Saccharomyces cerevisiae S288C: one gene and its partners. The gene in region 4 interacts genetically with the main gene of each other region. Each region holds a gene or a part of one and is shown on either strand. Other genes may lie near its edges. The genes, in order: RAD57, MLP2, MAD1 and NUP60.

Region 1 (7,148 bases), on a different chromosome or scaffold from region 4:
GTGTACCTCTACAACACAAACAATGGCAACGTAGGTAGCACTAACACTTTGAGTACTACTACAGATACTGCTAGCGTTAAAATCAGCCCGTCTTTGATGTCTCCTTCTAAAACCTCCACCACCACACCTACTGGCAATGCGATTGCATCCAGAGGTTTATTCGCAGCAACAGAGCTGGAGGAATTCGAGAATGTTTATCGCCACTTATATGCATTAATCAACCTTCATTGGTCCGTATTCGGTCCTCATTATATCGAAATGTTAGGAGATAAAGTTAATAAAAAAGGAATATAACTATTATCGGTAATGGAGGAAAAAAAAATTTTTTTACCATTTCTTTATGTAACTTCATATATCATTTTTAAAGCGTACATTTCTTATAATTTCACTTCTTAAATGCAGTCACATATTTACTGCTATCAGACAAAGTAAAGCGTCGCTAATTACTTGCCTCCACGAGTTGCTTGTCAATCAGGGGCGCTTCATCTCGCCAGCGAAAGCGCGTTGTCCATCTTATTTAACAAGAGAAAAAAAAGATAATTCAACTTAAAAAGAACGTGCTATCAGCTATATAAAATGTAGACACATTATGTATCAGTGTTTCTTTAGCAATGCGAAAAATATAGGCTTAGTGTCATTTACTTAAAGTTTAGAAACTCTGCACACTTCACCAAGAACAAGTTTAACCGCTCATTACTCCAAACGGATTTTTTTGCCTAAAGAATCACGACAATGAAAGTATGTTATCACTCTAAAACTGCCATGCTCTTTATTCGAAATTACTAACATTGTACCTGAACCCTCCTTTTCTTCCTTAGTTTATTGATGAGCTAGATATAGAGAGAGTGAATCAAACTCTCAATTTCGAGACAAATGACTGTAAAATCGTGGGCAGTTGCGATATTTTCACAACAAAGGCGGTTGCATCAGATAGAAAATTATATAAAACTATTGATCAGCATTTGGATACTATTTTACAGGAAAATGAGAATTACAATGCTACCCTTCAGCAACAGCTAGCTGCTCCCGAAACAAACCAATCACCCTGCTCGTCGCCATTTTATTCTAATAGGAGGGATAGCAACTCTTTTTGGGAGCAAAAGAGAAGAATATCTTTTAGTGAATACAATAGCAATAATAACACTAACAACAGTAATGGCAATAGCAGTAATAACAATAACTATTCTGGACCTAATGGTTCTTCTCCAGCAACTTTTCCCAAAAGTGCCAAGCTAAATGACCAAAATTTAAAAGAATTAGTCTCGAATTACGATTCTGGCTCTATGAGCTCATCGTCTCTTGATTCTTCTTCTAAGAATGATGAGAGGATAAGAAGAAGGAGCAGTAGCAGTATTAGCAGTTTCAAAAGTGGTAAATCATCGAACAATAATTACAGTTCTGGTACAGCAACCAACAATGTTAACAAAAGAAGAAAATCTTCGATAAACGAAAGGCCAAGCAATTTAAGTTTGGGTCCGTTTGGTCCCATAAACGAACCGTCAAGCCGCAAAATATTTGCTTATCTGATTGCTATCCTCAACGCTTCTTATCCTGACCATGATTTTTCATCGGTTGAGCCAACGGATTTTGTCAAAACATCATTGAAAACTTTTATTTCCAAATTTGAAAACACCTTATATTCTCTTGGTAGACAACCAGAGGAATGGGTCTGGGAGGTAATTAATTCTCACATGACTCTTTCTGATTGCGTCCTTTTTCAATATTCACCTTCAAACTCTTTTTTGGAAGATGAGCCTGGCTATCTTTGGAATCTTATAGGTTTTCTTTACAACAGGAAAAGGAAAAGAGTGGCTTACCTTTACTTGATTTGCTCGCGTCTAAATTCGAGTACAGGCGAAGTGGAAGATGCCTTGGCAAAAAAACCTCAGGGAAAGCTTATAATAGATGATGGCTCAAATGAATACGAAGGAGAATACGATTTCACTTATGATGAGAATGTAATAGATGATAAATCAGATCAAGAAGAATCCCTACAGTAGTTTTAAACTTTAATTTGTGAATTTTCCTTGTCTTACACCTATAATCGTTAAAAACAGTCCCTTTATGTCTACTATTGTAAGTTTCTATTTTTAAAAAAATACCCTTTTCAACTATGTACCTTTATGACAATATTATATTTACTAATTGAACACTTTAGCGAGGATTGAATAATGTGCGCTACTATATAAAAAGACTGCCTTCATCATATATTACTGCAAAGCTCTTAGTTTCTTTCGAATACGGAACTTCAATCAGGCTGTTTCTATTCCTCGCTTAGTAATTTGATATGCAATTTGACCAGGCTTAGCGAATGTGGAATATACCACTTTCATTGTCCTCTTAACTTGCCAGAAGCTTGCCGAATCACCTCCCTTATAAAGATGAGCTTCACCTCTTTGAATTATTGTTGAAGCCTTGAAAGATTTTTGAAGTAATATTCGTGTTGAAACGTGATTGGACCAAGTCAAACCGAGATTGGGGACACGATAGTCAAATTTCCGTTTCTTACTTTGTCGACTGATAGGACTTGATGAATTTCGCTCAACGGTTTTATTCTCAATTATGGGTGGTTTCTTTTTTGAAAAAAAATCATAATTCCGGTCATTTACAGTGCTCATAACTCTCTCGATTAGCATATAATCTTCATCGTCTGATAGAATTTCATCGTTATTGGAACTTGCTCCAAGCAGCGAATTCATCTGCCGATAAAGAATGGTTGAGTTCTTCCAGCCAACTAGCCACCCTAGCTGATAATCATAATCAGTTACATATGTCCTATGTGCCACTGGACTGTTAGCCAGTGGTTTATCCCCAACTTGATTAGCCACCACAACGGATAATGAATAATCGTGGGCCAGTATTTGGAGCTTCTCTGCCATCCTATCCAGATAGTTTTTATTTTCTTGGGATTCTCTGAAGGACTTGTTCTGAAGCTCCACCCTCAAATGATGAGAAATCGAATCTATTATCACCAATTTTATTGAACCCTTAGATCTCTCTAATAAAATAGGCAACTGAACATTGATTATGTGTTCCTGATTTATTAGGTCGTTACAGCTGACGGTGAAAATATTTGATTGTGTAATACCTAGTTTTTCATAAGCCGGCCTAGACGATAGCATACTTTCCAATCTCTGAGTTGGTAAATCGCCCTCAGTGGTAATATATACACATTTGCCGCCAAGCCCTCCCGCAGGTTCGGAAAGTTGGACACTTAACGCCAACTGCATAAGTAATTGAGATTTACCAGTAGAGCTCTCTCCGAATATTTCTGTAATGCCATGCGTGAATATGCCTCCACCTAATAATTCATCCATAGCTACATCAGCAGTCGTGAAACACTCAGGACCGTTATCTGGGCTGATAGAGTTTTTTTCACAGATTTCTAAGTACTTTTCATTATATTCATGAACAAGCAATTGCTGAAATCTGAAAACCTCATTTATCGACCTTTGTATTAGCCTTGCCAATTCCTTCGGAGTGAGTGTTAAAAAATCTACGACGCAGACACCATTTTGCCTTACTGCATCCAAAAGATATGAAAATTCTTCATCATAAAGGAGTTTACTTTCCGGTAATTCATCGTAAAGGTCCATATACGTATTGTCAAATTTTATTGATAAGGCCCTAGGCATGAATTTACACACTTTGAAAAATGGTGAATTCCCAGTGGTTGTTCATCATTTTCATTTTTTGAATTCAACGCGAAAAAGCCGAAGATTAACCGGCATCTGAATTCTCATGTTACTTAGAGGATAATGTGTGAGAAGAAATAGGTAAAGGAAGAATATATTTATAATATATAGGCAATTAGACTAATCAAAATCACCGTCCGTATAAATCGTTGAATGGCTTTTCCGTGGACCGAGTCGAAAGCGTTCCGATGAATTGACTGTTCTGGACGTCGATACTACCAGCTCTCAAACCTAAATCAATAGTATGTTCCTACTATAATACACAACTCGGAATAATCGCGACTTTCAAAGAAACGAAAACTTCTGTACTTCTTTTTTTTTTCAGCACTCTTATAACTATTTTCTATACCGCAAGTCATGCGATAATAAATTCATTAAACGAAAAATCACTTACTCACTTTCGCTCTTGCCGGCGCGTTATTAACATCAAAGGAAGAAGATTCAACAGTCGGAGAATGCTGCTCGTTGCGATTACTCTGACCATTAACGAAATTATTCATAGTGGGTCTTAGCAGATTGAAGTCGAATTCACTTTCACTAGGAATTCGTACGACGGCAGCCACTGGGCGCTGTAAGTCTTTATCAGTCGAGCTAGCTTGTTCTTCTGATAAAGGCGGTGGCGCTAAATATTCCGTTTTGCCATTAGGATGAAACTCTCCTCGTTCGTCGTAAAACCCCAAATCATTCTCATTTGCTGTCTCTGTATATTCAGGAACATAGTCTTCAACGCAACGCTGTGTGCCATTGTAATCTCTCTCGGACTGCCTGTAGGTAGGCGGGGTTAACCAAGCGGTTCCCCTAATCGGAGCTTGACCCATAATTCTTCTTCTCCTATTCACTTTTGCAGTTGAAAACAGAAGTATAAGGAGTGCAACTATGAAAAAAATAAAAAAAATCCATCTTCCCCATCTCCATGAGGAAGAGCTAAATGGATCATCATCTGTAATCGCTTCACCATTGTTATTATTATCATCCTGTCTTTTATGTATTAGGAAGTCGATCTGCTCCCGTAAAATCATTTCAAAACTATACTCTCTGTTTAGCTAAATTTCCTTCAGCTTTCTAGCGAGCTAAGGAATGTATTCCAAATTTACTGCTCCTTTATTACGTCAAAAATTTCTATAGTATTCGATTCTCATTAGTAATTATAAAGGAGTAGCGAGAAAAACAAAAATAAAAGGGCGGAAACATAAAGATGGTAAATAAGACAGAGAATATTACCCGGAAACATACTACGAGATTATTGAGCTAATCTCCATGCACCAAAGTGGTTAGACATTTGGCTACATTGACTACTGCAACAATTACTTGAACCCTCTAATCCTTCTTACATATCTATTCATATGTGATTTCACAATGCTACATAAGCGTTTTTTATATAATTAAAGAGCAACTTTTCCTCACAGTAGATAAAAATATATATGCACGCTGTAAAGGAAAATTACATTAGGAACAAAAAAATCTAGACGCAAGTAACAAGCACATCGAAACTAAGCCTTTTTGTTGATTTCTTGAGCTTTTTCAAATTCTTCTTTAAATTTATCAGCATTTTCCTTACTGCCAAATCTGATAGCAAAAGTGAAGGCTTCTGCTTCACCTTCTGCAATATCTGCTGTACAAGCATACACCCAAGATCTATCAGAACCAACGTTAGGCTTCAAAGTGTATTCTGGAGCAATGATGTGGTTAGCACAAATCTTTAAGGTCTTGTCTCTTCTCATCAATATTCTAACCTTGTTAGTCTTTTTGTTCTTCAAGAACTTACAGTCACCAGTACCTCTTTCTTTCCATTCCTTGGCATCGGCATCGAATCTGAAAAGCTTGGCTCTGACCTTGTAAAGAACTTCTTCGTCTTCTTCCATTGTCTTAACATCTACCTTTTCCAGGTGAACCACTGGTTCAAAATGGATATCTGGTGATTCTGGAGCATCATCACCTTCCTTCTTGGTTTCCTCCTTGGTATCTTCTTCGTCTTTCTTGGTTTCTGGCTTTTCGGCCTTCTTACCACCAAACATGGAGAAGACAGCAGAGGATGGTGGCTTTGGAGCAGCCTCTTCCTTCTTGTCGACGACAGGTTTCTTATCTTCGCTAGACATTCTTTTTCTATAGTTGTGTTTATCTTCTTGCTTTTATTTCAAATTAAACAAGATCTTTCTTCTTTCTCCAATTGAATATCAATTTCATCATCAGATTTTAGTTTCTGTTTTATTTTTTATTTTTTTATTTTTTTTTTGTTTCTTGTTTTCCGCGTACTTCCCGCTGGGCGAAAAAAGAAATGAAAAAAAGAAACGACAGGAGCATCGTGTAGGACGAAGCCCCTTATCCCCTAGTTACCGAAGAAGGCCACCAATCTTAAGTTTGATAGAGCAGTACTTATATAAGGCTATATATAGACTGGTTCACAAGGTTATCAATATGAAACTTGCGCGATCACCGATTTACGGGATTTTTCAGGAGCGAGGTACAAGATTTGTTGGCCTGAAAAGATCGCAAAACATTAGCTAGAAATTTTCCCCCTATCGTTTTCCGTAGAGTAAATATAATATCAAGAAGATAGTTTTATATTGACTGATTTCACAACCAACTGCATAGATATAAGGAGATTACTAGATACAAGAACGCCTGATAAACAAAAAAAGAAAAATTAACAAAAAAAATCAGTAGAATGAGTCAAGTTAATACAAGCCAAGGACCGGTAGCCCAAGGCCGTCAAAGAAGATTATCATCACTAAGTGAATTCAATGATCCATTTTCGAACGCAGAAGTCTACTATGGCCCCCCAACAGACCCAAGAAAGCAGAAGCAGGCAAAGCCCGCTAAGATCAACCGTACGAGGACTATGAGTGTTTTCGATAATGTATCTCCTTTCAAGAAAACTGGTTTTGGTAAACTTCAACAGACTAGACGTGGTTCTGAGGATGACACCTATTCAAGTAGTCAAGGTAATCGTCGTTTCTTTATCGAAGATGTCGATAAAACACTTAATGAACTACTGGCTGCTGAGGATACCGATAAAAATTATCAGATCACCATCGAGGATACCGGTCCAAAAGTTTTGAAAGTCGGTACCGCAAACTCCTATGGCTATAAGCATATTAATATTAGGGGTACGTATATGTTATCCAATTTGTTGCAGGAACTAACTATTGCGAAAAGTTTTGGTAGACACCAAATTTTCTTAGATGAAGCTCGTATAAACGAAAATCCCGTCAACAGATTATCAAGATTGATAAACACACAGTTCTGGAACTCTTTGACCAGGAGAGTTGATCTGAACAACGTAGGCGAAATTGCAAAAGATACCAAGATTGATACGCCGGGGGCAAAAAATCCAAGAATCTATGTTCCTTATGATTGTCCAGAACAATACGAATTTTATGTTCAAGCTTCTCAAATGCATCCATCTTTGAAATTAGAAGTTGAATATTTACCAAAAAAAATAACGGCAGAATA
Region 2 (10,713 bases), on a different chromosome or scaffold from region 4:
GAATAATCAGTTTCATTACTAGGGTCATCATTCGCCGGCACCATTAGGTCAACCATATTATGCGATATCCGTGGTCTTGTTGTTATGTATTGAACCTAAAAATAACGTTAGATGCTGCCAAAGATCGGCCAAAAACGACTGTAAAGTGAAGTAAAGAGTACAGAATGAAGGATGCGCCCAAGAGGGAGATGTTTTCGGAGCGTTTTGTGTCTCACAAGATGTTCTCTTCTGTTCTTTCTCACTTTAAGGATTGATTCCCTATATTGCAACCAAAATCACTCAATTTTTCATCATAATTTTTCAATCATTACCCGCGCCATTGTCCATCAAAAGTAATACCATTTTGGGGCCCTGAAAAGCACACCAATACTTATTTATATTATCTCAAGATCGCTGGCACTACCGTCAGAAGTTTCTTTAGTTTCCTTGGATCCGAAATGTTTTTGCCAAACTTCTTCGCGATGGCTTCTTTTCTTGAACCATTCGTTCTTTGAAGGTGCGAGAATGACTTTTTCCTTCTTGTAATGCAAGAGATCGTTTATAACAGTTTTTTTTTTACCGAGTAAGTTGTTCTTAGGTTCGCTCCCTGATACAGAAGACTTGAGTACTTGGGAAATTTTTCCATGAGTGGGATCGAATCCTAGGCGTTGGATAAGCCCTGTCTGGAGGGCACTTTCTGTGGTTCGTTTCATTTTCTGTCGCTCTCCGACGCTCTTATCTTCTAATCCGCTGGATTCCCTCCTTCTCATAATTTTGCCTAGTTCGCGGCTCAGTGCTGTCGATTTCTTAGTTTCTATTATTTTCCTTCTTTTATTGTCTAAGTTTGCCAGCATATCTGGATTCTGAAATTTCTCGTCGAAAAATGCTTTGGCAGAATTACTATTCGTAAAATTGTGAGAGCTCTTTTTAAGTCTTTCCTCCTCTTCTGACAGGCGCTTACGAGTACCTTTGATTATATTAAACCCGTTTTCCCCTTTGGCCTTATATAGGCTTGGTTGAGAGTCCACTTTCGTAGGCGCGCCCAAGGCGTACCCACCATTTAATTCAATTCTTTTAGCACTTGTTCCACGAAATTGCACTTCTCTATGGTAATCGCAACACTTATGAAGAGATATGTTAATGGGAGAGCCACATTTTTTGTGAGTCTTTTTATTCACTATGGGACACCAACCTAAATCTCTACTTGAACCTATCTCCAGGATACATTTGAAGTCATGACTAATTCGAAGGTTGAAGGATTTGATAAAATTTCCTCGCCCTGAGGGTCTCCATGGTAGTACTTCTGGGTTTAATATTGCTATCACATCACCCAGGCGAAGATTATAATATCTTTCTACACCCTTTTTCCCGAAGATATAAACATCTAGTGTATGCTGAAAGTCCGTTATGGTGAACATGAAGAATTTGACTGGCTTTTCAGATGATGTAAATTTGATGTCCGATTTGTGGCTAATGAGGCCTACGGTGGCCCAGTTGGCGTATTCAGGCTCTTGAAATTTAGGTGGGCGAATTTTAGCAAAAAGTTTGCCCAACCGAAGGATTTTGATCTCATGCAAAGCCCGTTTTAAGTCATCTTCAGGTATGTACCTCTTTTTAACCCAAAGATTTGAAAAGCTTTCTAATTCGTTTGTGATTATCGGCACATATTTCTTCTCATCGGTACTGAACGTATGTACTCTTGCATTCATCATGCTTTCAAACTTGGCAATTTGTTTATCTTCGTTCTTCTTTGCGTTTTGAAATTTCTCCATAAAGTATGTGGTTGTACTAGCTGGTGGTTTTGGTTGCTGCTGTAATTGAGATAACCTTACTTCATTAATATTCGAACCTTCGAATTTTGTGCCTTGTTGTGTAGCATTATGAGACCCCACTTTCACACGGTTTTTGGTAGGAGATTGAGGTACCTCGATGGCTTCAAAATTAGGATCCTGGGGTTTCTTAAATTCTTGCTTTCTTTTTAATCGTTCCACTAAGGCCTGCCTCTTTCGTTCCATAAATTCAAGTTCTCTCGCGATGGCTTGCTCATCCTCTTCATCAGAAGTAATATTATTGTACGGATCAACCGCTAAAATTTCACGAGGATCATTCATTTCTCCACGAACCAAGTGCTTAATGTGCGTTGAAAATGTGAGGTTGAATTGACAAACTTACGTTCCTTTATCTTCGATGGCCTATAAAGTTGATATTTCTTAGTGGTGTTAGAAAAGGTGGGTTTGCGCATCCAAGAAACCCGCGTGAAAAAAAATGGCAAATAAACCCAAAATTTGTTCATACTTAACTACTAGTACGGATGTGTCATAAATCACTTTATGTCCTCTGTAATGACATTAGTGACATTTAAAATATGTAGATGTTTCATATTTATATAATTACATTGTTTAATATTACATCACTCGTTGGAAGCTTGATCATTTGCTGGACTCTCTTTAACCTTTTTGGTGTCTGGATCAGAAGATGTACCGCTCTCAATTGGCCGTTTAGATGTACTTCCAATTTCTGTTATTTTTGCTCCATCGGTGCTATTGTTAGTTAGATCGGTTACGTTGGAAAAGTTAATCGCCGCTTTGACTGCAACTTCAGGTTGAATATTGAGTGTACGTAGGGGGGCATTCGTATTGATATTAGATTGGGATGCTGTGAATGGGTTCTGAAAACTTTGAAGAGATGATGTATTAGAGGAGAAGAATGGCTTACCAAAACTAAAGGTTGGAATGGCCTTGTTACCAGCAGCGCTACTATCCACGATATTATTTTCTTTATTTGTAACCATTGACTGGCTGTCATTGAAGGAAACGTCATTCTTCACATTCTTCAATTGTTCTTGAGGTTTAAGGTTTTTTTGATTTATAAAGCCAGCGACAGCCGACGGCCTCTCAGAATTCCCCTTCGATGGACTGTTCCATAATTCTTCTTCGGCATCTTCCCCGCTACCTTTGTTATCAAGAAACGTTAAGCTTCCCGCGTTTTCTTTCAATTTCTTTCGAAATTCTTCTTCTAATTCTTCTTTACGCTTACTAATGATCTTTTGTATCCTTTCCTCGCTTGGTAACCTTATTCTTTTCTTTAAATTCTCTTCTGCTTCCTTAATTCTCCTTAACGTTTCATCTTCATATTCCTTTAGCCATTCCTTTTTCAATGTTTCGATATCTTTACTGTATTCTGCTTCTGAGCTTGTACTCTTATTTAAGGTCTCTTGTAATTTTTTTTCAAATTCCTTCGTTCTTTCGTCAATAATTCTGTCCTTTTCTTTCTCCATGTTAACTTTCAATTTCTCAAATGCATCAGATGAGCTATTCGCAGTTTTGAAAATTTGTAACTCCTTTTTGAGTGATTCAATTTCCTCCATTAATGTCCGATAAGTGTCCTTTTCGTGATCTCTCGAGACGTCTTCTGATTGGAGTTCATGTGCTTTGAGCTTCGTATCTAGATCAATAACTTTAGCGTTTTCAAAGTGTAGATCTTGTTCTAATTTGTCTTTAATTGCTTTTAATTCGTTGAGTTCGTTAGTTAAAGCAGCTTGTTGTTTCTTAGATGCGTCCAATTTTTCATGAGCCTGCTTCTTTAGCCTATTGAATTTATTTTCCAAGTCAGCGTTTGCGTTCTCAGCGCTTGAAAGTTTTCCCTTCAAATCACTAATCTCATTAGTTAGCTTTTCAATGTCTTTTTTTTGGGCATCTTTTTGTTGTTGAGATAAGTCCTGGTACCTCTGTTTACATTGCTCCATTTCACTTTCATATACTAAAATTTTGTTAGAATTTATCGAAACTTGTTCTTTTGTTTGTATGAGATCACGCTGTAATCGAGAAATTTCTTCTTGCCTATCATTTAATTGTTTATAAATTTCCCTGTTTTTTTCGGTTACGTTTTTGAGACTCTTTTGTAAGATGGCATTATTCTCTTTTAAAATGTTAACTTGAGTAACTTCTTTCGTGATATCCTTGAATTCGTCAATAATAACTGCAGAGCATTGGTATTCCTTCTCCGATAAAGTCTGGGTTCGTTGCAGGTCATTTATCGTTTTTTCTAAACTATCGTTCTTTTGTTTAACGAATGCCAATTCTCTCTTACAGGTGGTTAACTTCGTCTCTAAAGAATTTCTTTCATGACGTAAGTTTGAAAACAAAGAAACTAGCTTCAAATGATCTTTATCGCCATTATTTGCTGCTGTGTCATCAACCTTTTCAATCAATACCGAATTTTCAACACGCAAGGATTCCGTCTGTTCAATATTAGATATCAATTCTCTTTCATAATCAGCCTTTTCCTCCATCCATTTCCTTTCATGTTTATCGAGTAAATCCTGAGCGCTATACAATGAGGATTTGGTTTTTGTTAATTCTGCTTGGCAATCAGCCGCATCCTTTTCAAGGCGGATAACCAATTCAGATAGATCTTTATTTTCCTTCATTGTGGACTGATATTGGGACATTTCTTTTTTTTTGCACAGTTGGACAATCGTACTCATTTTTTCAATTTTTTCTATCATTTTTTGGATCCTTTCTACCTCATTCCTCAACTTTTCTGATTGTTGAACGAAATGCAATGCACCTTCTTTTAGTTTCGGTTGCAAAGCTCTTATTTCACCGAGCTCTCCGCGTAAACGAGATAGATCTTCTTCCCTCGCCCATTTTTCCTTCTTCTCTAGTTCAATCTTAGCATCGTAATTTTCTTTGGTTTTTGCTAGTTCATTTTTCAATTCTATTAGCGCATTTTCATTCGATGATATAATTTCTTCATAAGCCTGTATCTGTGAGTTTGCATCCTTCAATTGAACTTGGATTTGCTCTAATTCTTTTCTCAAAGTCGGTTCTAACGTGCTTGCATCACTATTTTGATCCAAGAATTTATATTGGAATTTGGTTTTTCTTAGTTCCTTATCCAGGTTCTCTATTTCTGATGAAAGTTTTTCAATCGTTGTTTCCTTATTTGATAATTCAGTTAGTAAGGACTTCATTTTCATTTCTGTATCATCGATGGTATTTTGAGCCCATTTGAGTTGCGAATCCTTGCATGAGCGTATCGATTCTATTTCTTGTATCTTTGATTGTAAGTCGGAACGTAATCTTTCCAAATTGTTTTCCAATTCTTTGATTTTGGCTTTGTATTGGCCCTCTTTCGAGCTAAAATCCATTTTATTTTCATTATGACTGATTTCAGACTCCTTTAGTCTCATCTGCAATTCTTTTTTTTCTTTGCAGCATTGTTCGAAATCTCTAGTTAAAGATTCTTTCGTGGGTATAAAGCTGGCAGTTTCCTTTTTCAGTTTGGAAATCTCGTACTCCAAAGATTTGATTTTGATCCTAGACTGTGACAGTTCAGTTGAGGCTCTTTCTTTCTCAACATGTATGTATGATGGAACCCATGATTTTTGTTTCTCGAGTTCAGCTTTTAGGTGGTCTATTGCTTCCTCTAACATACGTTCTTTTTCCTTTGCCAAACCCTTGAAATTTTCAAAATCCTCTAAAGTTGTTTTTTTTTTGCATTGTGATTTCTTATAAATTAACAACTCTTTTCTTAAATTCTGAATAATAGCAGAGTTTTCGACTTTTGTAGATGAAAGTTCTGCCTCAAGTTCTCTAATCTTCTTTTCACGGGCTGCTTCCATAGAAGTGACAGAATTTGTGTTGGCCTTGTTTTCTTCAGTTGATGCCAGCAATTTGTAAGAATCCCGCTCTCTTAATAGGATATTTATCCGGGTTTCCATCTTCGCATTGATGTTCTCCAGTTCAATTATTGCATCTTTTGCTTCTTTAATGGTCTGGTTTTCTACCTTTTGTAAGGTCTTGTCTTGTTTTCCTTCATAATTTTCTAATTTATCAGCCAAAATCCGAATGCAATTCAAGAGTTCAACATTTTTTTCTTGTAGCTCATTCACATTACTGAATTCAACCAGTCTTTCCGTAATGATGGCTTGGGAATCATTTTCATTTACGATATTGCTCGACTCCAGTATTTTTCTTAATGATATCAGTTCATCTTGCGATAACGGCGATGCCGTTTCCTGTATCGCAGATGTATTTAAAAGAAGTAGTTTAACTTGACGGGCCAAATCCAAACGTTGTTTCACCAGAGAATGAATATTTGCTTCACAGCCATTTATCTTCTGTCTCAGTGAAGTTATTTCTCTTTCTTGCTTACGCTTAGTCAAAGAAACAGTTTCTAGTAGTTCTGTGGAACGTTTTAGTTCATGTTCCAATGATTTTGTTCTTTCCTTAAAAGAGATCAGTTCAGGGGTTTTATGCTCTAATTCTAGTATAAAATCCTCCAGTTGATTCTGTAATTGAAATTTCTGATTCCTTTCCTTTATCAATTGTCTTTTCAGCACTTTGATATCAGAAAATAGTTTACCTACTGTGGGAGAAACTGCACTCGTAGTCATTGTAGCTTCTTCTTCCTTGGTACAATCCATAACTATATTCTGTAACCTTTGACACTCATTTTTTGATTTTTCGAGTCTTAATTTTGTGTCTATAAGTTCGTCTATCACATCAGTATGTTCAGGGTTCCTGCAGGAATTATCATCATTTTTCTCTATTGCTCTCAAGGAACAATCTTTTTCCAATGATGTTAGTTGTGAGCGTAGCAAATCGTTCATATTTTTTTGTAAAGTCATTTCTTTGGAGAATTCTGCTTTTTCCACACTTGCGGTATCTTTCAAATTTTTCATTTCCAGTACTTTCTCTTCCACCGACTGGGATAATTGTTTATTTTGATTTAGTAAAAACTTATTGTACGTAAAGACAGATTCATAGTTGGATTGCATTTGGTATAGTTTTTCTTCGAGGTTCTCTACGTGCGATGATTTTGTGACTTCTTCTGTTAGCGTTTTTTTGCTAAAAGATGATAATTTTTCTTCAATTAATTTTTTACTTTGTAACATTAATTCTTTTTCCTGTACTGAGGTATCGTACTTTAACTGTAATGATATAGCATTGGACTTGCACCTTTGTAGTATATTTTCCATTTCCATCAGCTTTCTTCGAAGAAGCTTATTTTCTTTGTTCAAATCATCATTTAAAGAATCATTCCCCTGATCTCTACTCTGCCAAATGTCATATTCTTCTTTAACTCGTTTTTCGTCATTTACTTCTCTCATAGCTTCATGGCTCACATGCAATTGTTTTTTTAGTGCATCTATTTCCCGCCTATATCTGGAACGTTCTTCATTCAGCTGATCTTTCAAGCCATTCAATTCTTCTTTAGCTGTGTTCTTCTGCTCAGAAGATTCATCTAGTAGCTGCTTAAGTTTTGAAATCCTTGAATAGTACTGCGATTTGATCTCATCGACCAAAACATTGAGTTTTGTCACTTCCTCTTCAGAACGTTCAAACTTGGCTATTTTCTTGTATAACTTTCTTAAGACAGGATAGGTAACACCTTGAAGTGATTCGAATGGAACATTTAAAAACTCAGATATTTTGTCCTCCATTGCCGGTTTGCTTCCGCCCAGTGTTCTTTCGCCTTAAATTTCTTTTGGTAAACTTCCACTAGAAAAAGAAAAGCCACCAGAGAAATAAGCGCTTGCAATTTAACGCCGATATTGTTTTCTTCTTCTATTATCTTCAATTATCGATCAACTCTATCCAACAATTCTATAATATCCACTGTTCATTAACGAATATTGGTCTTTTTCCCTTATGGTGAAGTAAATTTTCCATGCAATATCCGGGTAAGCTATCGACAAGTTTATTGACTGCAATTTGAGTTTATTACATCCGTACATTACTAAGATGTATGGTTTTTCTATTTTTGTGCTCCGTGTCGATATTTCGTGGAGCAAACCAGAAAAGATGCGGAACCTCTTAGCACTCCGCCTGGACATAGGCGGAGCATATTCCTCCTATGGGATGGGTTTTGTTGTACTCTTTTCTCTCTAGACAGGACCTCCGATTGCCTCCCTGAGGGTGAGATGGTTTCCGGCCTCAGGACGGCCTTCTCCAGTTTCTAGCGAGGCATACATTCCAACCAAAGGTGTATCAAGAATATCTGAAATTAAAGGTAGTTGAATCTCTATTTGTTGTTGTTATTACCGCTTATTATCCCATAGTTGAGACGACCAAGATTCAAACATGCAAATGTATGCACCATATCCATTCTAAACATAGTTTTTCGAACGTTCAGAGCTTAAAGGGACAATTATTTTAGAAACTGAATTTTTACCCAGTGGAATAACATCGTATCTGTAAAGTCTACAAAATTTTTTATCCATCAAAAATTAAAACAAAGAAAACTGCCAAACTGAATATGAGGAACTTTCCTCTCTAGGAATGACTTAGTGAATGTACAGTGACTTGTGGAAAATATGATTAGATTTTGAGCGGGTGATGCGACTTAACAGTCTCATTGCCTAAGAAATATCCAAATTTGTGGTTCATGCTCTCCCCCAAGATATGACGATGAGAGCTCGTTTAAAATTTTGTCTTCTTCCGAACAGTTATGAAAAAACTATTACGTGTTTTTATGATATCCTTACTAACTTGTCATTTTTTTATAAAATTATTTTTTTAACAGTTTTGTCAAGACTTTGACTGGTAAGACCATCACTTTGGAAGTTGAATCTTCTGACACTATTGACAATGTCAAGTCAAAGATTCAAGACAAGGAAGGTATCCCACCTGACCAACAAAGATTGATCTTTGCTGGTAAGCAATTGGAAGACGGTAGAACCTTGTCTGACTACAACATTCAAAAAGAATCCACTTTGCACTTAGTCTTGAGATTGAGAGGTGGTATCATTGAACCATCTTTGAAAGCTTTGGCTTCCAAGTACAACTGTGACAAATCTGTTTGCCGTAAGTGTTATGCTAGATTGCCACCAAGAGCTACCAACTGTAGAAAGAGAAAGTGTGGTCACACCAACCAATTGCGTCCAAAGAAGAAGTTAAAATGATCTGTTTCGCCCAATCAATCTATACATTTATTTACTGTATACTTTAATGTACATCTTCTTTTATCATACCTACTGTTAAAATCATAATATTAATTCATACAATATACTTAAGAAAACAATATACTTTTCTTAGTTTCATAACTTTGGAATCTATAATGTTGTTTTTTTTTTTTTAAGTATATTTGTATATTATGCATATAAGTCAACGCGTAGCGGTGGTATTACGCGCAAGCTTTTGATTTCTCTTACTATTCTTGGTTGTTCATTTGTTATTTTTCTTTCCCTGATATGCTGCACAAAACTCAGTAAGAATAGTTTTCAATTTTGGTCTTTTGATTGGTTTCGATAAAAATCCGTTCATTCCTGATTCCAAACATTCTTTAATGTTGCTATCGTCAGCAAAAGCGGTTAGAGCGACAATAGGTGAGGTATAACCTAAATCGCGCCTTATCATCTTGGTAGAAAGTAAACCATCCACTTTAGGCATCTGGACATCCATGAAAATCATATTATAATTTTCGCCCTTAGATGTCAATTCTTTAACTTTGTCGAATGCTTCTTGGCCATCGCAAGCCAGTTCAATATTTTCAATGCCCTCCAAGTTCAACATTCTTTTGATAACTTCCTGATTTACATGATTATCTTCTACAACCAAAATTTTGACACTTGTTTCATTTTTATCGTCGTCTTTGACTGTGGGGATGTTTCTACTTGATGTGGCTGTACCAGTACTTTGCAAAAATGGTCTATCAAGATTGACAGAACCTAGACCTTCATGTCGAGAACGATGCTTAGAAGACAAGGAATTTTGTTCGTTAACTTCAGCACCTGTAAGACATATAGAAGGTTTAATATTTTTTTCCTGCAGTTGTTCAAGCCCTCCATTGTCGTTTTTTTCTTCTCTTCCCATGTTAGGATTTCCAACATCTTTCGTCTCATGCTTACCTTTACTTCTTACCTCCGGTAGCACGTCGTTGGTTAGGCTACTTCTATTTGTAGCTGGTGTTGCAACAGATGATGTGGATTGTCGGCTCTTGATGCTTTTAGCAACACTAAACTTGACTCTTCTGTTCTTTCTACTCTCAGGATTAAATTCGTCCTCAAAAGGAAACTCCATATCTGCAAAACTGATCTCTTTAGTTTGATTTAATGGCAAGGTAAAAGTGAATTTACTACCAACACCTACTTTCGACTCTAATTTCATCGTTCCATGCATCATATTTGCTAACTGTCTACAGATTGATAGACCTAAGCCAGTACCACCATATTGCCTGGACAATGTTTGATCACCTTGAACAAATGGATGAAATACAGATTCTTGTAAGGAAGGGTCAATACCAGGCCCAGTGTCTTCCACTTCAATAGAAATAACCCACGTTTTGGGGTTTTCGATAGGTCTTCCTAGGTTACCACCTTCTTCATCATCTGAGCCAGGTGCTTTATTGAACTGACTATTGAAGATAGCGTTATCATACGAGCTGGTAGTTGTTGATACTATAGAAGATACATCATCATTCGAAGCTTTTTCCCTGTCATTCACTTTCTTATAGATACTTTCATTCGCAACAGTATTTCTTTTTGTTATCTCTTCCTGAATTGTCGAAGTGTCTCTATTACTTCCTAGGGAAGTAGCGCTGGATTCTAAATCGACACTTTTCCTATGGTTCGATAAAGTTGGAAGATCGTATTTATCTGTAGTTTCTAAATTTTCGGTTACTTCTGTCCCTTTTTTGATATACACTTCTTTGTATTGCTTCTTCTCGCTTAATTCTTTGTCGTATTCACCCAACAGTTTCATTCTTACATCAACGGTACCATCTACA
Region 3 (7,582 bases), on a different chromosome or scaffold from region 4:
GAGTTCATTTTACACTTTCTCCACGTTGTGGCAATCTCAAAAACCAAAGCGTGGGAAAATGACACACCTTTCCAGATTTCCATGATTGGCTTATTTAATTTGAATATTATTTGGCTAAAACTACTGATTCCGTGGAGGCTGTTTAGGCTGTGGGCTTTGCTAGACGGAATCGATACACCTGAAAATATGATCAGGTGTGTTGATAACAATTACAGTTCACTAGCATTCTGGAGAGCTTGGCATAGAAGCTACAATAAGTGGGTTGTCCGTTACATATATATTCCTCTAGGTGGTTCAAAAAATAGAGTTTTGACATCACTAGCAGTCTTTTCCTTCGTAGCTATATGGCATGACATCGAACTAAAGTTATTATTATGGGGTTGGCTAATAGTTTTGTTCCTCTTACCAGAAATTTTTGCTACCCAAATTTTCTCTCATTATACCGACGCAGTCTGGTACAGACACGTTTGCGCTGTCGGTGCTGTTTTCAACATATGGGTTATGATGATCGCTAATCTTTTTGGATTCTGCTTGGGCTCTGACGGTACTAAAAAATTACTAAGCGATATGTTCTGTACCGTATCTGGTTTCAAATTTGTAATTTTGGCAAGCGTTAGTTTATTCATCGCAGTACAAATAATGTTTGAAATCAGAGAAGAAGAAAAGAGGCACGGAATTTACCTAAAATGCTGAATGCCAAATTTACGAATATCAATTGTATAACACTGCTATCATGTATGTATTTTTATCTACTAGTACAAAAATGAAACCGAAAATAAATAAAAAAATATCGAGAGGAAGCGTGAAAAGCTAATGAACATATAATATGAAAATCTGCAGTATGATGGATAAAAATCCTCTCGAAAACTCAAATACGTTTTTTATATTCACCAGGCGTTTCAAATTTATTCTGGATCCACAGTCCCTTTTTTCTAGATCTTGCCAAAAATTCATAATATCGATACTTATCTTCTCTATCATCAAATTCTGTGTTTACTTTACCCTCATAAACAACCGCTAATCCATCCTTGAGCATTTCTAAGCTTAAGTCTTTCCACCCACCAAACCAGTCCCAGTATGACACTCGAGCTACACAACGGTTGTACTGATCTATAGATAAAGGCTTGACCCATACTTTCTTTCCCAAAATTCGGTTTTGTAACCAAATTAAAGCTTCATTACCAAACGGTTGAGCTGGGTTACCGAAATGTGCTCTTTCTGGGGCATCGATTCCACATAATCTTATAGGAATAGTTGGCAGGTTTTTCCTATTTTTGTAAGGTACATTTAGCTTCAAGAACTGGCTTTTAGCTTTTTGTATTTTACTTTTGGTGGACCTCCCATGCGTAATCCAATTGAAATTGAAAAACCTCATATTTCTGCTATCTCCAACAAGCTTTTCTGCCGTAGAATCATTCTTGATCATTTGTGGGACGGGTCGTAACCATCCCCATCCACCTCTTATACCACCTGGCATGTGAAAGAAATGAAAGTTGTCCCCGTCACCTACAGACGTGACTTTACCATAAAGCCAGTGTTTACGAAATATTCTTCGCGGTATATCATTTGTTCTTTTGAATTGAGTTAAATACCTTTTATATGTGTAGATCAATGTTAAGGTCGAACCCGTAAGGATGATGGAGAGGACAGCAACATCCGCAGATTTTTTTGAATTAGAATCACCTTCCCTCATATAAGTGCATTTATGCCCCCTTAATAGCTATGAAAAACTGGGCTTCTTTTTATATCATGTGTGACTTATTCTGTAATTTGTTTTTATTCTTCAACACAATTTTTTTTTTTTTGCATACCAAAGGAATCATAAAAGGTCAATGATGAAGAAAGATAAAAGAATTTTGTGACCAACAATTATGTCAGCGGATAGGAGTTTATCATATTATAAAACCGATTACTATTATCTATTAGAAATGTATATACACTTATTTGGCTTGTCGCTGTTCCCACAGACGCAATGTTATTGTTGCCAAAAAGCACGGAAGTTGACCTCTATCTTCCACCCATAGATTCATGAGATCATCCCATCCTTCTATATCTGCATCAAGGTTAGATTTCAAAGTGTTTTCATTTAGATCAGCAATCAAATATTTTTCAGGTTTGAAACAGGAAAATATTTTCACACGACTATCTTGTTGAAATTCCAATTTAAAACCTAATAATGAGTTTACAACGTCAATAAACTCCAAAGATTTATTATTGAAAACTTGCTTTAGTCTGGAAAATCTTTTATTTGACTTAAAAACTTCCTGTTCGAACTGTTTCAACTCGAAATTTAGTGAATCATAAACAGAAATGGGTACTGTTTCCACTGCTGGATTATTCTTTTTCAATTCGTTAAGTAAATCTGCATTTTCCTTTTCTAGAAGAAGTAATTTGTTTTTCTTGATAAATTGATCTTTTATGAAGGGGCCGTCACGTAATTGCAGTATACGTATTTTTTTCTCCTTTAGTTTAGTTAACTTTTCTAATTTTTCTTGTAGTAGCTGAATTGTAGTTTGTGCTTTACTCAACTCCCTCGAGACACTTACATTTTCCAGTTGCAATTCGTTGAGCCTCTGTGAATAATTTAAACCAATTTGGTCACTTGTCAACTTCCTCTTTTTTCTTTGTGTTTCTACATCATTGGAATTTGATAATAACTGATCGTTTAGCTTCTTTAGTTCGTTTGTTAAATCTTCTGTCTTATTTTTATAAGTATCGATCAAATTATTCATATCTTCGTTTACGTTCTTGTTTGACGCATGTGTTTCACTATTTTCGACCTCTAGTAAAGCATTATTTTGTGCGGAATATAGGCCATCTAATTGTTCGCGCAGTAATCGACATTCTTCGAAAGATAAACTCTTCTGTTGTTCTAACTCGTGATTTAATCTTTTCAAATTTACTATGTTGTTTTCATAATTCTTGTTCAAATCTAGTATTTGGTTTCTCTCTAAAGCCATTTCATCATTCAGTAGCTTTAAATTGTTATTGTCCAATCTTAACTTATCATTCATATCTGTCAAAATTAAACATTCCTTTTTGGTAAGTTTCCAGTCCCGGATAATCTCTTCAGGGTTATTTCTTATGTTATTTTTGGTTCTGTTGTTATTATTAATATTGTTGTTATTACTTGTATCATTATTATTATCATTATTATTATCATTTTTATTATTATTATTATTATCATTGTTGTTAACATTGTTATCATCATCATCGTCACTATCATTATAAATTTCCCATTTGGTTAATTTCGATTTTAGATCTATGTTTTCCAATTGAAGATTTTCATATTGACTTTCGAGTACGTGTAATTGACTTAATTTGTTTTGTAGTTTTTCATTTTCTAATTTCCAAAAAGTAGAAGTGTCCTGGGATTGTTTAAGTTTTTTCAATTCATTGGCTTGTTGCATGTTCGCTAGTTCCAATTCTTTAGTATACTGAACTTGGTCTTGGATCATTTTGTTCATTTCAGTGAGCTCGTTGAACTCTTCGGTGGAGTAGTTTGGATGTGAGTTTATCATCTTAGATGCTTTTACCGAAGATAATTCATCATCCTTTTCCATCACTTGATGCTGCAAATCTTTGATATCCACACTTTGCCTCTTTATTTCTTTCTCATATTTCATCAGTAGCGAATGAGAGCTCTCTGCTTCCAACTTGAAATGGTCACATTGGTTAGTGACCTTTGATAACTTCGAATCATACTGCTGCCTTAAAGTCTCCATTTCTAAATCTTTGTTTTGGAGGGTTGTTCGCAATTCCTCTATGCATTTGTCTTTATCATTCATCGAATTAGCTGATCTTTCTTTCAAACTCTTTAACTCTTGCTCCAATTTATCATTGCTTTCATAAAGATATTTTGTATCATTCAATGCTTTCTCTAATTCGTCAATCGTGGCCTTATATTTCTTTTCTAAGATATTCGTCTGTTTTTGTAGCTGCAATTTTTCAATCTCATACTCATTTTGTAGAGTATTGAGCTTGAATTGTAACGCCTGAATCTGACGATTACTTTGTCCATTTGTACTGCCTACGTCGGGCGAACCTCCAGGGCTTTCCAAGAAAGGAGAGGACCCACCACTATTGCTCATTTTGTACTGGATAGAATAGATCTCTAGTCCCAATTTTTTTCCAGTGAATCGTCCACTCAATGCACTGAAGAAACATTGCAATGCCGCTCTCACATCCATTATTTACTATTACCTCTCGATTTTAAGATGGAAAAAATTGTTAGGAATTATTCCTAGGGTAACACGCTATCAATTTTCATTGCTCCTTTAGCGATAAATAAGAGACTAAAATAAGATCAACTTCCTACACAATCTCTGCTCATTACATTTCGATGTCGTGGTGAAATTCTTATTCTGTATATGCAACGTAGAAGAAAGCAGCGTTTACACAAAAATGTCAAAAGTGTATGTTATTATAAGTTTTGAAAGGGATTTCAACATATACTAACAAATTCTTGAAATGTACCCTCACTGTCCTATTGTAAATCAGACCAAGAAATTTTAGGTTGTTAGAAGAATTAGAAAAGGGTGAAAAAGGGTTTGGTCCAGAATCATGTAGTTATGGTTTAGCTGATAGCGACGATATTACCATGACCAAATGGAACGGCACTATTTTAGGGCCCCCTCATAGTAATCATGAAAACAGAATCTATTCCCTTTCTATAGATTGTGGCCCAAACTATCCAGATTCTCCCCCAAAGGTCACTTTCATTTCCAAGATAAATCTACCATGCGTCAATCCAACTACGGGGGAGGTCCAAACTGACTTCCACACCTTACGTGACTGGAAAAGAGCCTACACCATGGAAACTTTATTACTTGATCTTAGAAAGGAAATGGCAACCCCAGCGAACAAGAAATTGCGTCAACCGAAGGAAGGAGAAACCTTTTAGTTATCTACTTTTTCCTAAACAGTATTTGCAGCATTCCAAGCCACTCATATATACAAGCAATAAGACATAGATATCCTCTTATTTAGGTAGTAAGTTTAATTACTTTCATAATATGAATTTACTCACCCCATGCCGAGAAGTTACTCGTGCAATTCACTACGATAATGATGTATATAGTTGTATTATCAATCCTTGCAACGGTCCTCATCCGGGCACACGAAGGTAAACCCTTAGATCTGCTAAAAAACAGACGACAGAAAGACTGTTGCACCCAAGATCGATAAATTTGTTCTCCAGTCCAAGCCAATAATAAATATATTGCAACACCAATCCACATTCTTCATGGGTCAAGAACGCCCCGGAGGGGTTCAACCTCGACGAGATACTGTACGTGTTACGAATGGCTGTTAAATTTGCGTTACTGTTATAAAATAACACTAAAATAAGAAATGGAAAGTAAATAAATAGTAAAGGAAAGTCAAATAAAGCAATGAATGCTGCATTGATCTGCCTTTTATAGCTAAGAAAAAAAAAGAGAAAAAAATAATAAGTGCGGGTAACCTCATGCATTGTAAAACGGTAGGGCTACAAGGCACTACTTACTCTACGCTATAGAAGAAGCTTCAAGACATGGTGTTGTTCTTATTTGAGCGAACTCAGCTGTCACCGTTTCGGGAAACTCTATAGTTTTCTGCGTTTCAGTACGCAGTTGGGCGTGCTAAAGTTGTTTTCCTAATTTGCTAGTGTTCACTTGCTCATTGATGTCCCTAAAAGGTAATGTCGCATAGTAAGATGTATGTCCCATATCAAACGCATTCCTAGAAAAACATGCACTGAATGAATAAGCAGTTACTTCGATTACTAATCTTCACAGCATAATTTTTCTCTTATCTTGTAAACCTCTTTCTATCTTTTCATAAAGTTTGTCACTTATATTTCTTCATTGGTACATCAATGCCAGCAACGATGTGCGCATCTGGGCGACGCCTGTAGTGATTGTTTTCAAGGTATCGAGCCAAACTATTCATCGTTACTGTTTCAAATATTCAGTTGTTTCAGTACAGAGTCGCCGTGGACCTAGTGAAACTTGGTGTCTTTACAGCGCAGAGACGAGGGCTTATATGTATAAAAGCTGTCCTTGATTCTGGTGTAGTTTGAGGTGTCCTTCCTATATCTGTTTTTATATTCTATATAATGGATAATTACTACCATCACCTGCATCAAATTCCAGTAAATTCACATATTGGAGAAAATGAAATTCATTTCTACCTTTCTCACTTTTATTTTAGCGGCCGTTTCTGTCACTGCTAGTTCCGATGAAGATATCGCTCAGGTGCCAGCCGAGGCCATTATTGGATACTTGGATTTCGGAGGTGATCATGACATAGCTTTTTTACCATTCAGTAACGCTACCGCCAGTGGGCTATTGTTTATCAACACCACTATTGCTGAGGCGGCTGAAAAAGAGCAAAACACCACTTTGGCGAAAAGAGAGGCTGTTGCCGACGCTTGGCACTGGTTAAATTTGAGACCAGGCCAACCAATGTACAAGAGAGAGGCCAACGCTGATGCTTGGCACTGGTTGCAACTCAAGCCAGGCCAACCAATGTACTGAAAAATGACCCTAAACTACTTCTAAACCCTCTCGATTTCTTTCACGTTCATACAACACCTAGTTTTATTTATTTTCTTTTCAATCTGAGTAGTTGAGTTTTCGATCACTCACATAGAACTATTTTTTGCCATTTAAATAAAGTATTCTCTCAAATGATGCGATACTATAATACTCTTTGCCATATATTACATTCATTCATAAATAGGCTATGTTTCTATATCCGTTTCCGATTCTGTCTGCAAGCAAGGTTCCCTATCATTACCGGATTGTTCACTATGGTTGGAGCTCTTCTTTTCCCCTGCACTTGCATCAGTCTCAGATTCAGAACCAGAAATGTCTCCGTAATCTTCATCCGATCTTCCTGCTGATATTTGAATACCATTGTCTTCTAAAGACACTAAATGTTTTTGAACATCACTGCTACTATCAGATTCAAAACTTATTGATTGTGTGTCATCTCCAAAAGAGGTAATATCATCGTACTTTTCACTGAGTTTATCTTTAGCAGTAATAATTGGCCTTTTAGAAAGTCCGAAAAATTGAAAGTCATCAAAATCGTCGTCTTCCATTTTGATCACGGATTGATTAGATATTTTTCTATTAGCTCTCCTCCGACTTGTGTCTTTCAACTTCTTTTGTAAATTTTGAGGCTCTACTACCGTCTTTCTTCGTTTCATTCTTTTTCCTGGAGAGTTTAACTCAGAAATTGGCTTTTGCACTTCCGTATTAATAAGCGCAGAATCTAAAACATCATCGTCAGACAATTTGATATTATTTTGTCGCAGAATCTCATGAAGCTCTCTTATTTTCTTCTTCTTCTCATTCAACAAGGTTACCATCATTGCTCTGGTTCTTTCATCACGTGTTTCTAAAAGCTTATCCAATAGCTCCCTTTCCCGAGCCAGCTGTTCAACTCGATTTCTATTGCTAGAATCGCTCTCCTTTATATTCCGGTAAGAATCGTTAACACAACAGATATCTTTATAGAGTTTATCTGCCATTTCAAATAAATCAATCTCTCCCTTTTTGACTGGATGCAAGGTAAGTTCAGCGATTTTTCTTAT
Region 4 (4,120 bases):
ATTTGGCAACTTCGAGAAGTAGTTCAAATGCAGAATTTCCAATAGTTGACTCCTTTTTTGTGTATCCCGTTAATAATGTCCATAGGCTGTCCTCAGTAATCCCAACCGAGTATGAATGATTAGCGTCGCCTATAATATCAGTCACATTTTTAGTTGTTATAGCACCATCACAATACACCTCAATGTCCTTTTTCAATATCACGCATGAAAGCACGAACTGTTTAACTTTTTTATCAGACAAATCAAAATATTTACCAGATATATCCCACAGCTGATTCAAAGTGATTTCTTCAATGTGTCGTTAGTAAATAATCTTTCACAATATAGTACGTTTATCACCTAAACGGAGCCGAAAAGGAGAATGAGACATGAACATACTTCCCTTATTTGAAGCAATTTTATCAGACACTATTTGTACGAGTTCGTCAGGATAAATCGTCAGTACCATTTTTCTTGTGGCTAGTTGGCTTCAACCAAACGTCCTCTTCTCTCTTATGGCAAGAAGAAAGTTATATGTGTGACTGGTTGTTTATTTCACTTTCGCGACTGAAAGCGCCGCCCTTTATGATGCAAAAAACCAAGCGGTATTTGAAAATGCAGATTTGCAGAAATAAAAGAAATAAAAATAAAAATCTTATAATTTTACCAGCTTCAATAACTCGATTTGCATAAGTGTGCCTTAGTATGCTTATTATATTGACTTTGACATTGAACTTCAAAACCTTTTATGTAATGATTTAAGTCTTGTCACATGACATAATAATAAATAATTTTAAAAATATAAAATATTTTTAATAGTTTTTAAATATTTTACAGTTTATTTTTTAAATTTATTTATATGTTTTTGTTTTCCGAAGCAGTCAAAGTATTTTAATTTTCGGAGCTTTCATTTCAAGCGCCTTTTTTTTACACATAATACGATCAAGATAAATTATTATAGTGGTACAGAACTCTTAAGCACTAGGCGGTGGACCTTATTAGCTCAATCTTGAGTCAGTCCATGTATCGTTTTATAATACTTTTTTAAGCACTTTCTTTAATAAATATTCCATTGAAGTACTGTTACTGAAATGAGATGAACTGTTCAGAATGTAGAAATGGCGCCAGAAATCAATCATTGTTTAGCAAAAACACCTTTCGTCTGCTGCCTCGGGTGTTTTTTCAAATTATTTCAGCAGGTAAATTAAGATAGTTATTCGAGTGATTGCCAAATATCATGTTCTACTTCGAAGACTTATAGCTAATTAATTTTTTCATAATGAAGGTGTCGTTAATTGTTCTGATTAGTAACATGAAACTCAAAAATCATCAAAAAAAGAAAAGCTAAATGTATACTTTTTTGTCTACATTAGTTACCTTTTATTACATGAGAAAGTTATTTTTCTTCTTTTTTTTTTTTTTTTTTTGAAACTTTTTCCTCTCGGAAAATAAAAGATATATTTACAAGTGAAAGCTTATTGTAATGTGTACTTTTAAACATCAAATAACAGACCTTTACATCAAATAAGCACCGCAAGATATCCTAAAATCGACATCCAATGCATCGTAAATCATTGAGGAGGGCTAGCGCTACTGTGCCTTCCGCTCCCTATCGAAAGCAGATTATTAGCAATGCACACAATAAACCAAGCCTTTTCTCTAAAATTAAAACTTTCTTTACCCAAAAAGATTCAGCCAGAGTGAGTCCAAGGAATAATGTTGCTAATAAACAACCACGCAATGAGTCTTTTAACAGAAGAATCTCAAGTATGCCTGGAGGTTATTTCCATTCTGAGATATCCCCAGATTCTACTGTAAACCGTTCCGTAGTTGTTTCTGCAGTGGGTGAAGCCAGAAACGACATTGAGAATAAAGAAGAGGAGTATGATGAAACACATGAAACTAACATCTCCAATGCAAAGCTTGCAAACTTTTTTAGTAAAAAAGGTAATGAGCCTTTATCAGAAATTGAAATAGAGGGTGTGATGTCATTGTTACAAAAATCAAGCAAATCCATGATAACTTCGGAAGGAGAACAAAAATCAGCCGAAGGTAATAATATCGACCAGTCGCTTATCTTGAAGGAGTCAGGAAGTACACCAATCAGCATATCTAATGCGCCGACCTTCAACCCAAAATATGATACTTCAAATGCGTCAATGAATACGACTTTGGGAAGCATTGGTTCAAGAAAATACAGTTTCAATTATTCTAGCCTGCCCTCACCATACAAAACAACCGTTTATAGATATAGTGCAGCGAAAAAGATCCCCGATACATACACAGCCAACACATCTGCTCAAAGTATAGCATCTGCTAAATCGGTAAGAAGTGGTGTTTCAAAGTCAGCTCCTAGTAAGAAAATAAGTAATACAGCTGCGGCATTGGTCTCACTATTAGATGAAAATGACAGTAAGAAGAATAATGCAGCTTCAGAACTTGCTAATCCATACTCCTCATATGTAAGCCAAATACGCAAACATAAGAGAGTTTCTCCAAATGCTGCACCAAGGCAAGAGATCAGTGAAGAAGAAACTACTGTTAAGCCATTATTTCAAAACGTTCCTGAACAAGGCGAAGAACCAATGAAACAACTGAACGCCACCAAAATTTCACCATCTGCGCCAAGCAAAGATTCTTTTACTAAATACAAACCTGCAAGGTCCTCATCCTTACGCTCAAATGTCGTCGTAGCTGAAACCTCACCTGAAAAGAAGGATGGTGGAGATAAACCTCCATCCTCTGCTTTTAACTTCTCGTTTAATACTTCAAGAAACGTTGAACCTACTGAGAATGCTTATAAGAGCGAGAACGCACCATCTGCATCATCAAAGGAATTCAATTTTACCAACCTACAGGCGAAGCCGTTAGTTGGAAAGCCAAAAACCGAACTTACAAAGGGCGATTCTACTCCCGTCCAACCAGATCTTTCGGTTACTCCTCAAAAAAGTTCATCGAAAGGCTTTGTTTTTAATAGTGTTCAAAAGAAATCACGGTCCAATCTTTCACAAGAAAACGATAATGAAGGTAAACATATCAGCGCCTCAATTGATAACGACTTTTCAGAGGAAAAGGCGGAAGAGTTTGATTTCAATGTTCCCGTGGTGTCTAAGCAGCTAGGAAATGGCTTGGTTGATGAAAATAAAGTTGAGGCTTTCAAGTCCCTATATACCTTTTGATAATGAAAATTTTAGCCGTGACATAATTACCGTATAGCCCAACTCAATACGTAAGTTTGTGTAAAATACCATTCCAAGATGATATTATTTAGTCATTTTTTTTCCACTTTCTCAAAAAGAAGGAATACCTTTAGCGGCTCTTATAAACTATAAATTTCTAGAAGATACATAAAAGGTTTTTAGTCTGATCATAAAATTTTTTGCTTAACAAAAAATTTGCCCAGGTGTTTCATTTGCCAGCCACAAGTAACAGCGAGAACAATTAATTGAATGACAATCCACCACATAGCACGAGAATTAACAGCTTCAGAGGCGTCTCTAAAGGTAGCTTCACGATCTCTCATCAATTTTTGCTCTCTTCTAATTTCGCCGATCTTGGAGTTTAGGACGTTAACCTTGGCATGTAGAATGTCAATAGTGGCTTTACCCTTAGAATCTAACTTTTCATCAGAGCCCACTTGGAATTCAACGTCAATCTTCGTTTTAGCCTTAATCAACCAGCCACCAGCTTCGGGCTGAATACAGATTTTATGTTCACCCGAATCAGACGCAAGGAAAGTTAAATCACCACTTGCTGAACCTTTCTGATGAACAACCAGGTGGTTATCATCAAAAGTTTCCTCAATATCAATCAAGACACCAAAATCTTGCGCACCAGCGTCTCTGTAATTTTGTAATTGGTCATCGTAAATTTGTGCCTTGTAAGTTGCTTGGAACAAAGTACCTTTAGACAATTCCTTGTGGAAGCACTTACGTTCAGCACCAGAAGTATAATAATAGAACGCAGTAACTTGAGCTGGTAAAACTAGACAGCAGGCAAAAACCTGTAAAAGAGAGGTTAAAAGCATGATTAGTAGAGAGATTGGTTACCTTTAAATACTTTTCCAAACTACAGAGGGAAGATAGAGTAAGTTTTGTATGTACACATTTCTGCTGATGTGTTTTTTTTTTTCAACTTATTA

Evidence for each region.
Region 1: mutations in NUP60 (region 4) and RAD57 together harm fitness more than expected from each alone (negative genetic interaction), as found in Saccharomyces cerevisiae (5 studies listed by BioGRID, with this or other methods).
Region 2: mutations in NUP60 (region 4) and MLP2 together harm fitness more than expected from each alone (negative genetic interaction), as found in Saccharomyces cerevisiae (6 studies listed by BioGRID, with this or other methods).
Region 3: mutations in NUP60 (region 4) and MAD1 together harm fitness more than expected from each alone (negative genetic interaction), as found in Saccharomyces cerevisiae (5 studies listed by BioGRID, with this or other methods).

Annotation. Positions count from the first base shown.
Region 1 is NC_001136.10:451,688-458,835, reverse strand, and holds RAD57 (putative DNA-dependent ATPase RAD57), read right to left. Parts: upstream 3,636-7,148; coding exon 2,253-3,635; downstream 1-2,252. Other genes in the region: SOK1 (Sok1p), read left to right, coding at 1-294; RNA polymerase III-inhibiting protein MAF1, read left to right, coding at 733-738, 819-2,000; YDR003W-A (uncharacterized protein), read right to left, coding at 3,932-4,054; RCR2 (Rcr2p), read right to left, coding at 4,082-4,714; Ran GTPase-binding protein YRB1, read right to left, coding at 5,186-5,791; alpha,alpha-trehalase NTH1, read left to right, coding at 6,361-7,148. UniProt on the Saccharomyces cerevisiae protein: Participates in the repair of X-ray-induced damage to DNA and in meiosis. It may act in part by stabilizing a repair complex of other RAD genes.
Region 2 is NC_001141.2:60,639-71,351, forward strand, and holds MLP2 (Mlp2p), read right to left. Parts: upstream 7,430-10,713; coding exon 2,390-7,429; downstream 1-2,389. Other genes in the region: ESL1 (Esl1p), read right to left, coding at 1-56; MCM10 (Mcm10p), read right to left, coding at 375-2,090; ubiquitin-60S ribosomal protein eL40 RPL40A fusion protein, read left to right, coding at 8,070-8,077, 8,512-8,890; SLN1 (histidine kinase), read right to left, coding at 9,153-10,713. UniProt on the Saccharomyces cerevisiae protein: Together with the closely related MLP1, involved in the structural and functional organization of perinuclear chromatin. MLP1/MLP2 associate with the nuclear pore complex and form filamentous structures along the nuclear periphery.
Region 3 is NC_001139.9:343,727-351,308, reverse strand, and holds MAD1 (coiled-coil domain-containing protein MAD1), read right to left. Parts: upstream 4,191-7,582; coding exon 1,941-4,190; downstream 1-1,940. Other genes in the region: GUP1 (O-acyltransferase), read left to right, coding at 1-693; LCL3 (Lcl3p), read right to left, coding at 869-1,693; E2 ubiquitin-conjugating protein MMS2, read left to right, coding at 4,405-4,415, 4,501-4,903; YGL088W (uncharacterized protein), read right to left, coding at 5,108-5,473; MF(ALPHA)2 (Mf(Alpha)2p), read left to right, coding at 6,156-6,518; LIF1 (Lif1p), read right to left, coding at 6,725-7,582. UniProt on the Saccharomyces cerevisiae protein: Central component of the spindle assembly checkpoint. Thought to recruit MAD2 to unattached kinetochores. During checkpoint activity, MAD2 is relayed from the MAD1-MAD2 complex to the mitotic checkpoint complex (MCC).
Region 4 is NC_001133.9:150,719-154,838, forward strand, and holds NUP60 (FG-nucleoporin NUP60), read left to right. Parts: upstream 1-1,538; coding exon 1,539-3,158; downstream 3,159-4,120. Other genes in the region: transcription factor TFIIIC subunit TFC3, read right to left, coding at 1-288, 379-448; ERP1 (Erp1p), read right to left, coding at 3,347-4,006. UniProt on the Saccharomyces cerevisiae protein: Functions as a component of the nuclear pore complex (NPC).